Yarrowia lipolytica: one gene and its partner. The protein of the gene in region 2 interacts with the protein of the main gene of each other region in a pairwise test. Links are inferred from orthologs where the notes say so. Each region holds a gene or a part of one and is shown on either strand. Other genes may lie near its edges.

The links. The genes of interacting proteins can lie anywhere in the genome.
Region 1: the proteins of YALI1_F09177g (region 2) and YALI1_B28830g interact in a protein complementation assay, tested with the Saccharomyces cerevisiae proteins (3 studies listed by BioGRID, with this or other methods). The link is inferred for Yarrowia lipolytica from reciprocal best matches to the Saccharomyces cerevisiae genes MRS6 and YPT6.

Annotation. Positions count from the first base shown.
Region 1 is NC_090771.1:2,881,018-2,884,427, reverse strand, and holds YALI1_B28830g (uncharacterized protein), read right to left. Parts: upstream 1,392-3,410; coding exon 1,387-1,391; intron 1,324-1,386; coding exon 1,240-1,323; intron 1,192-1,239; coding exon 579-1,191; downstream 1-578. UniProt on the Saccharomyces cerevisiae protein: Protein transport. Might participate in post-Golgi transport.
Region 2 is NC_090775.1:915,990-919,982, forward strand, and holds YALI1_F09177g (uncharacterized protein), read left to right. Parts: upstream 1-1,779; coding exon 1,780-3,480; downstream 3,481-3,993. Other genes in the region: YALI1_F09161g (uncharacterized protein), read left to right, coding at 150-203, 253-480; YALI1_F09211g (uncharacterized protein), read right to left, coding at 3,733-3,993. UniProt on the Saccharomyces cerevisiae protein: Substrate-binding subunit (component A) of the Rab geranylgeranyltransferase (GGTase) complex. Binds unprenylated Rab proteins and presents the substrate peptide to the catalytic component B.

The DNA.
Region 1 (3,410 bases), on a different chromosome or scaffold from region 2:
ATATGCTAGAGTAACAAGGTCATTCATCTTATGTTCTACCGTACTTCAAGGCCTTCCCTCTACTACAAGTAGCTACTACACCTACTTGTAGTCTCCAGGGGCTCCTGGATAGACGGTATGATGTGTATGTGAAGCTGGCCCCTTTCAGAATCCATATTTCTGTCAGATGGTTCATGAGATACCTCTGATACGAGTACAGTAGGTACAGTAGATACAGTACTTGGTACATACTGCACAGGACTCTAGGGTCTTGAGCACTCTCTGTCGGGGGAGGCTTTTGAAGAGAACGCGTCATATATATCCATCTGAATACTCATACTGAAGGAGAATCATGGGTGTTCCTAGACAATCGGAACATCTACAGCAAGTTCTAGACTGCAGATACTCCACCTGTAACCCCTGAGCCCCTGATGTCTATAACGCATGTGCAGGGAGAGCGCGACACGGTAGATTGTTTTACGATATCGTTTTTACTGGCTGAAGCACCCAGTCTTCCACACCTCTGTCGTTAAATTAATTTCACCTATTTACTTACATCCATGCTCAGTGTCATAATACTCTTATCCTCCACAGCCTGTCTAACACGAGCAGCTGTCCTGCTCAGGCTCGTTTGTAATATTCACGTCAATCAGCTCGCTCTGGTCGGTCTTGAGAGCCGTCTCGAGACCGGGCAGCTCGGACGCCACCTTGTTGAGAATCGACTTGACATTGTGGCCAGCCTTGGCCGACGTCTCCAGAAACAGCGCGTCGTACTGCTTGGCCTTTTCCTGTCCCTCCTCGGTCGTCACCTCTCGTGACTCCTCCAGATCGCTCTTGTTTCCAACTAGCATGAGCACCACTTGATTTCCTCGCTCGGCCTTGACGTCCTCAATCCACTTGTCCACGTCCACAAACGACTTGCGCGAGTCGATGGCGTACACAACAATGGCAATGTGACTATCTCGGATGTATGCTGGCACCAGAGATCGGAACCGCTCCTGGCCCGCAGTGTCCCATAACTGCAGCCGGATGGTTCGATCGGGCAGATACATGGGTTTGGACAGAAACTGGATGCCGATGGTTGCCTCGTAGTTCTGGTCAAACTTGTCGTACATGATTCGCGTGATCAGCGACGTTTTTCCCACACTCTGCTCGCCCACAATGACAAGTTTGAACTTTTGGATTTGTCCTGTTTCGGTCATCTTAGTGGTTCTGTGCGACTATCTGGGGCGGTGGAAGCGTGTCTTGTAACGGTGAAACTGTCGGGTGGCAAAAGTCGCGGGTTTGTGTGACTTGTTTCGTGTCTTTGCTTCGCTTTTCGGTAGCTCAAATCGCCGTTCTGTGCTTCACCCTGATATTATCACAACCTGTTAGTCCGTCATGTCCCTCTGGGTGGTGACAACTCACTGCATGTGTGGGGGTTAGGGTTTGTACCGGTTAAGGTTGTGGGTCTTGTGATTAGGGCTGAGGTGTTCTGTGAAACGGGCATGGCCAATTCTGAAGAGTGGAATGGACACCTCCAAATTTCTGCGAGTTGATTCCAGTTTGAATTTTTTCTGTGGCGTCATTACTGCGGAAAACACACTCCGTCTACAAGACTCCTGATCACGTGTGCACCGTTGGCAGACAGATTAGGCTGCTCATACGGACTGTTGGGAGAACGAAACTTGAGCGATATGAAAGGAGACATGAGAGAGACCTACAAGTATCGTACTTGTAGACATAGGCCTGGAAGCGGAAGCGGAAGCGGAAGGTGTGGGCACAATAAATAAGACTTGTTGTGTTTATACAAGCACGCTATATTACGAGTATTATTAGTCCATTGTGGCACCTGTGTGCAAACTATTTCGTACTACGCGTACTACTCGTACACGCACAACGGGAAGGTGTTTACGTGAGAAAAACTTGGGGCATGATATATGGATAATATGGACTGATACAGTAATCTCCCTTGAAGTCATTGGTGACGTGTATTTTTACGAAAGAGCTCCATTGCACGTCGATTTCACTGTACACCTCGGCAACTACAACCGACCCTCGGCTACCCTTGACAGTTGATGTGCCGTTGTAATGTCGTCTAGAGTCGAGATTGCAACAGCCTCCATATCATTTTTTCAGTCTAAACCAGTTTTTATCTGCTCCTCAGTCGTTACTCAGCAGATCTAGACTATCTGTTGGGTGCATGGGTGCAAACCAACCGAACTCTTACTGCCGGCAAGAGACACTTGTTTCATGGAAATTAGACTGAAATGTGTCTGTATTTTGACTATGGAAACGTCTCTATACAATAGATTACTGCAGATGTTTATATCTAGCTCTGTTTATACGTGTGTTGGTCCTCGCTCTCAAACAAGTGCCCTGTCCGGTCCATCTCTTCAGCATATACTACGGCCCAAGTCAAGTTGCAAGTCTAGTAGCACATTCTATTGACGATGCAGTAAATTTACAGTAAAAGACTTGGAATGTGCTCGTCGCTAAACTGTTGGTTCACCCCTACCCCTGGATGTGCCGCCCTCGAGACATGCTTTAGATCTTCGGAACATACAAGGGTACAAATAGTCGTGTTTGTATTCGTACAGGCAGTAATCCAAGGGTTCATCAGTTAGTCTAAGACTACAGTATGTACTTATGAGGTTGTATATTACCCAAGGACCCTGCTGCATCTCCCTGACATGGCGAGAAAGTCCACGTTTTCAACAACTCAACAGGAATGAGGCACTCGTACACCACACATTGGTACGTAAACCTGTGTTACTCTTTTCCAGCAATTCTGTCAATACTGTTTCCTCCACCTAGTGTCAACAAGACCAATGGTCGTACCCTTGTAGCTTTCACGCGCTAATGGTTTAGGTCCACTTGATGAAGAATATATCAACTGCCCAGCGTGTCAGTTGTGTCTTAGTCATGGGTAATACCTGGTCTGTTGGCTCACAATTTATACGGCAATCTCGTAGTTCGATTGCACATCTCTGACCTGTCGTAATCTCCTCGTATTCGTTTATAAATGGGGGCTTTATCCATGCGGATCGTGCATAAGACATGTATTGGGGACACGCGAATTGTTCTGGACTTGGCTAACACTATGTACTCGTAGTTAGGATATAGCGTGTTTCAGACTGTTTTGCAGTAGTCGGGTTCCATATATCCCTTGGTTGGTGAACTGGGTGAGCCGAGGCCCATTGTTTCTGGGGTTGAATGGGGGGGGGGGGGGGGGGGTTCAAAAAATGTAAGAAATTGGAGAAAAGTGCGAGAATACAGAAGTGAGGAGGATAAAAAGGCGAGATATCTGATTCTGCTTAAACAGGAAACATTTCTGCTTCAGGAATTTCATCCTGTCAAATACATTGTAAGGAAGACGGGACTTCCCTGAGGAACGGTTGTATCCAGTTCATAGAGGATTGCAATTTTACAGCTCGATACCACTTGTTTAC
Region 2 (3,993 bases):
TCGGAAAAAGCACCGACGATGGAGCGTCGGAACAATGTTACAGACGGTCAATCGTATGAGAATTGCCGGTAGTTTTACCGTTGACCGAGGTACAAGTACGTGGGCGTACAGGCAGGAGCACCGTTACTCGTGCTCGTACCGTACATACTATGTCTAGTGTTGAATGGTTTGGTTGCTGTCCTGTCATTCGGACCAGTTTGTACGTACTTGACAAGTAGTCAAGTTAGTTGACGTTCCAAGTAATACTCATAGTCGGTTACGCTAACAGGAGCAATTGCTCGTGCTTTGGTGCTTTGGCAGCAAATACAAGCACAGCACACTGTCGGAATATCCCAATGCGGAGTTGCTCACTTGTCTCATCATCGCCATCAGACCAGTTGGGCAGGACCAACGCAGCTGGCTCACAGAGTTCCGTTTCGGGAAGTTGGAGATGAGACGTTGCGTCGGTTGGTTGGGACCGACTATATACCCGCAATTTAATAGCCGCAAGAGGCAGGTTGGAGATGAGAGCAATGGTCGACAATAGTGCAGTTATCGAGGGAGGCGTGAATCTGTCACACGACACACGTCATAGTGCAGTCACGATGACACGTCAAAACAATGTCGATGGACCAAACAATACTCACACTCAGCAGTATCGGTCCGGTTCGAACCTGTACTTGCTCGTACCCGGTGGCAAACCCACCCGCAGATTATCATCACATGACCTGGCCCCATCTCTCGGCTGTCCTTTGTATTGTTGGGCTTTGTTAACAGAACAAGGACGACCGTTGAGATGAAGCGAACACGGTTTCAGTAGGTGGCGGTCAATTGAACTGGCAAGAGAAAATGGACCTCTGCTTATACTGTTCAGATCGGTCTGTGTCACTACGCTCCCCTCGTAACTCGTACGCCACTCCAGCTGTCATCCACACACAGCTCGTAATGTCGCCACGCTCACATAAGTCATGCACTGGACGAAAGCTAAGATTGGCACGGCAGATACTGACAAGACGAGGGAGCGCTTTAATGGGGGTTTATGGGGGGATTTGAGGCGGAAAAAACCCAGACTTTGAGTCAATCAACCCCCCACAAGCTCCCTGAGACAATGCAACGCCCAAATCCCGCCCGCAACACGTGCTATACCCGATTCCCATGACACCCAATTCAACACCTTATTTAGCCTATCTGGGAGAGAAGGGCCAATAATTTATGTTCAACTAAGAGTAAGTTGTGAAAATTTTTCTCTGTAGAAAATGGTGGAGACAGACATTGGGCACGTGATGGGCGTCGGAAAGGCGATTAGGGCCCGTATAAAACCCCCCAAAGGCCAATTTATCCCCTGCCGGGGGTCCCGACACGTCACATGACCCCACATCCCCTCCAAGAGACCCCTCGGCACGTACTTTAGTGCACCCTGTCCAAGCCTCCTAAAACTCTATACGCAGCACATACCCCATATTCCAAGTCTACACCTGCATCTTTGAACCAGAGCGCTGGAAGAGTGCACGACATCTGTTTGTACTATTGCCAGGTGGACCTCAGAAGGAAACGAAGCGACACAAACACACAAGCGACACAAGCGGAACAAGATACACATCCAGAACAACATCCGCAACATCCGCAACATCCGCAACATCCGCAACATCCGCAGCATCCGCAAAAGCAACGCGCCCGCACACCAACTACACCTGTGAAGCCAACCAAGTCCCAGTACAAGTACTGTACACGCCACAAACCTCCTCTCTCGATAACGCAGACACCTCTCCCACACATCCCCTCAACCCCCTCTCACACCACATGTCTTCTTTCTCAGCATCATCGGTATCCAAACGAGGATCAATTGTGCCGCCACTGGCAGAGGACCCCGCGTTTGTAGACTCTTGCGACGTGCTCATCTGTGGCACGGGCATCGTCGAGTCAATTCTTGCGGCCGCCCTCGCATGGCAGGGCTCCAACGTGGCTCATCTGGACCGCAACTCCATCTACGGTGACTCGTCGGCAGTACTCAATCTCGATGAGCTCCCTAGATGGGTGGACGAGGTCAATTACGAGTCCGCCGTCTTCTCCAACGCCAAGTTGTACCAGCCCCGACCCCTGGACTCCAAAAAGTACTTTGTGGACCTGACCCCACGGGTGCTGTTTGCCAAGTCGGACATGCTGCAACTGCTGCTCAAGAGCCGGGTCTACAAGTATCTGGAGTTCCGGTCACTCACCAACTTCCACACGTACGAAAACGACAGCTTCGAAAAGGTGCCGGCGTCCAAACAGGACATCTTCACGTCCCAGCAAATGTCGCCCGTCGTTAAGCGTCAGCTCATGAAGTTCATCAAGTTCACCGTCGAGTGGGAACGTCTCTACAACGTCTGGGGACCCTACCGAGACAAGCCCGTTGTCGAGTTCATGACCAAGGAGTTCCAGCTGGAACAGACCCAAATCGATGAGCTGGTCCAGTCCATTGGCCTGTGTTCTTCCAACGATGTCGCCACCCCCGTCGCCCTCCACCGTATCAAGCGGTACCTGGTCTCCCTCGAGACCTACGGCGCGTTTCCCGTGGTTTACTCCATGTACGGATCTGCCTCCGAGCTGTCGCAGGGATTCTGTCGATCAGCCGCTGTCGGCGGAGCCGTATACAAGCTCAACGCAACCCTCACCGGGCTCGACGTGGACTCCAAGACGGCTATCTTCAACGATGGCTCCAAGGTGCGATGGTCCGAGAAGCTGGTGGTGTCCGAGGCCCAGATCACCGAGCAGGTGCGCTCCAAGATCCCTTCGTCCAACCCTGAGTACCAGATCAACCATCTTACGGTAATTGTCAACATGGACTGCAAGGAGTGGTTCGCCGAGGGCGAGGACGCGGCCATCATCGTGTTCCCCGTGGGCTCTCTGTCGTCCGGCAACACTAAGACTGTGCAGGCCATCTGCTACGGTGCCGAGTCTGGCCAGGTTCCTCCTGGTCAATGTATCTGGTACCTCTCCACTGTCCAGGGAGGAGCCACAGGCCAGCGGGACCTAGAGGAGGCACTGTCCAAGATGGAGGCATCGATTCTGCGGGAGTCGACCGAGGACTTTGAGTTCCAGGTGGACCAGTCGGATGTTATTTTCACGCCGTCCGGCGACCCCGTGCTATCGTCCGTGAAGCTCGGCAAGTCCATGAAGGATTTTGTACCCGAGAAGAAGCTGACGTATCTGATCAAGCTGTCGTACAACCAGAAGACGTCGATTCCGCCGCTGGAGGAGAGCATCAAGGATGTTGCTAAGAACGATGGAGACGAGAGTCCTGTGATTGTGACCTCAGGTGCACCAACGGAAATCACCTATGACGGCATTGTGGAGCAGGTCAAGAAGATCTACGCGCAGATCGTGGGTTCAGACGACGACTTTTTTGACGTTGACTTTGAAGACGACGAGGAGGACGAGCTGACGGGAATGGCCAAGCAGAATAAGAAGCAGGAGGACGACGATCACGTGCCCGACTTTGGCGATGACATGGAGCTGTAAGACGGGTTCCACATTGGATATACGATATAGATATTTATAGGGCTGTACGTTACTAGTGCAGTTCTGCTCAACATAAGTTAAGCTAGATGATGTTATGACAAGCAGGACGCGGGCGCGCTCGCAAGATCCAGTGTGGTGAGATTGGGTTCTTTATAGATGACTAGAACCACTTTGAGAGAACATCAGAAGCGGTAAGAACGTTAGTATATATTAGTGTACATGGTTAGTATTTATGGAATGACACTCAGTGGACTAATCAACACTTACCTCGAACAGTTCCATTTCAGTCTCTGAATGGACCAAAGAGTCTGACGAGATGAGGGGATCTGAGGAGAGGGCTACTTCTGAACCCAGGAGATCTGTCTCTGGTTCGACTTCGCCATCAGGTTCAGCCATAGGTTCAGGTTGGGCCAAATCCTCCATGGAAACCGTCTGAGTGTTTGTATTTCGAGGAGCTTTGTTCTCCTTGTCTTCGTCAGGATCCAGTTCAGAGGGAGGGTCTGGAGGTGGTGA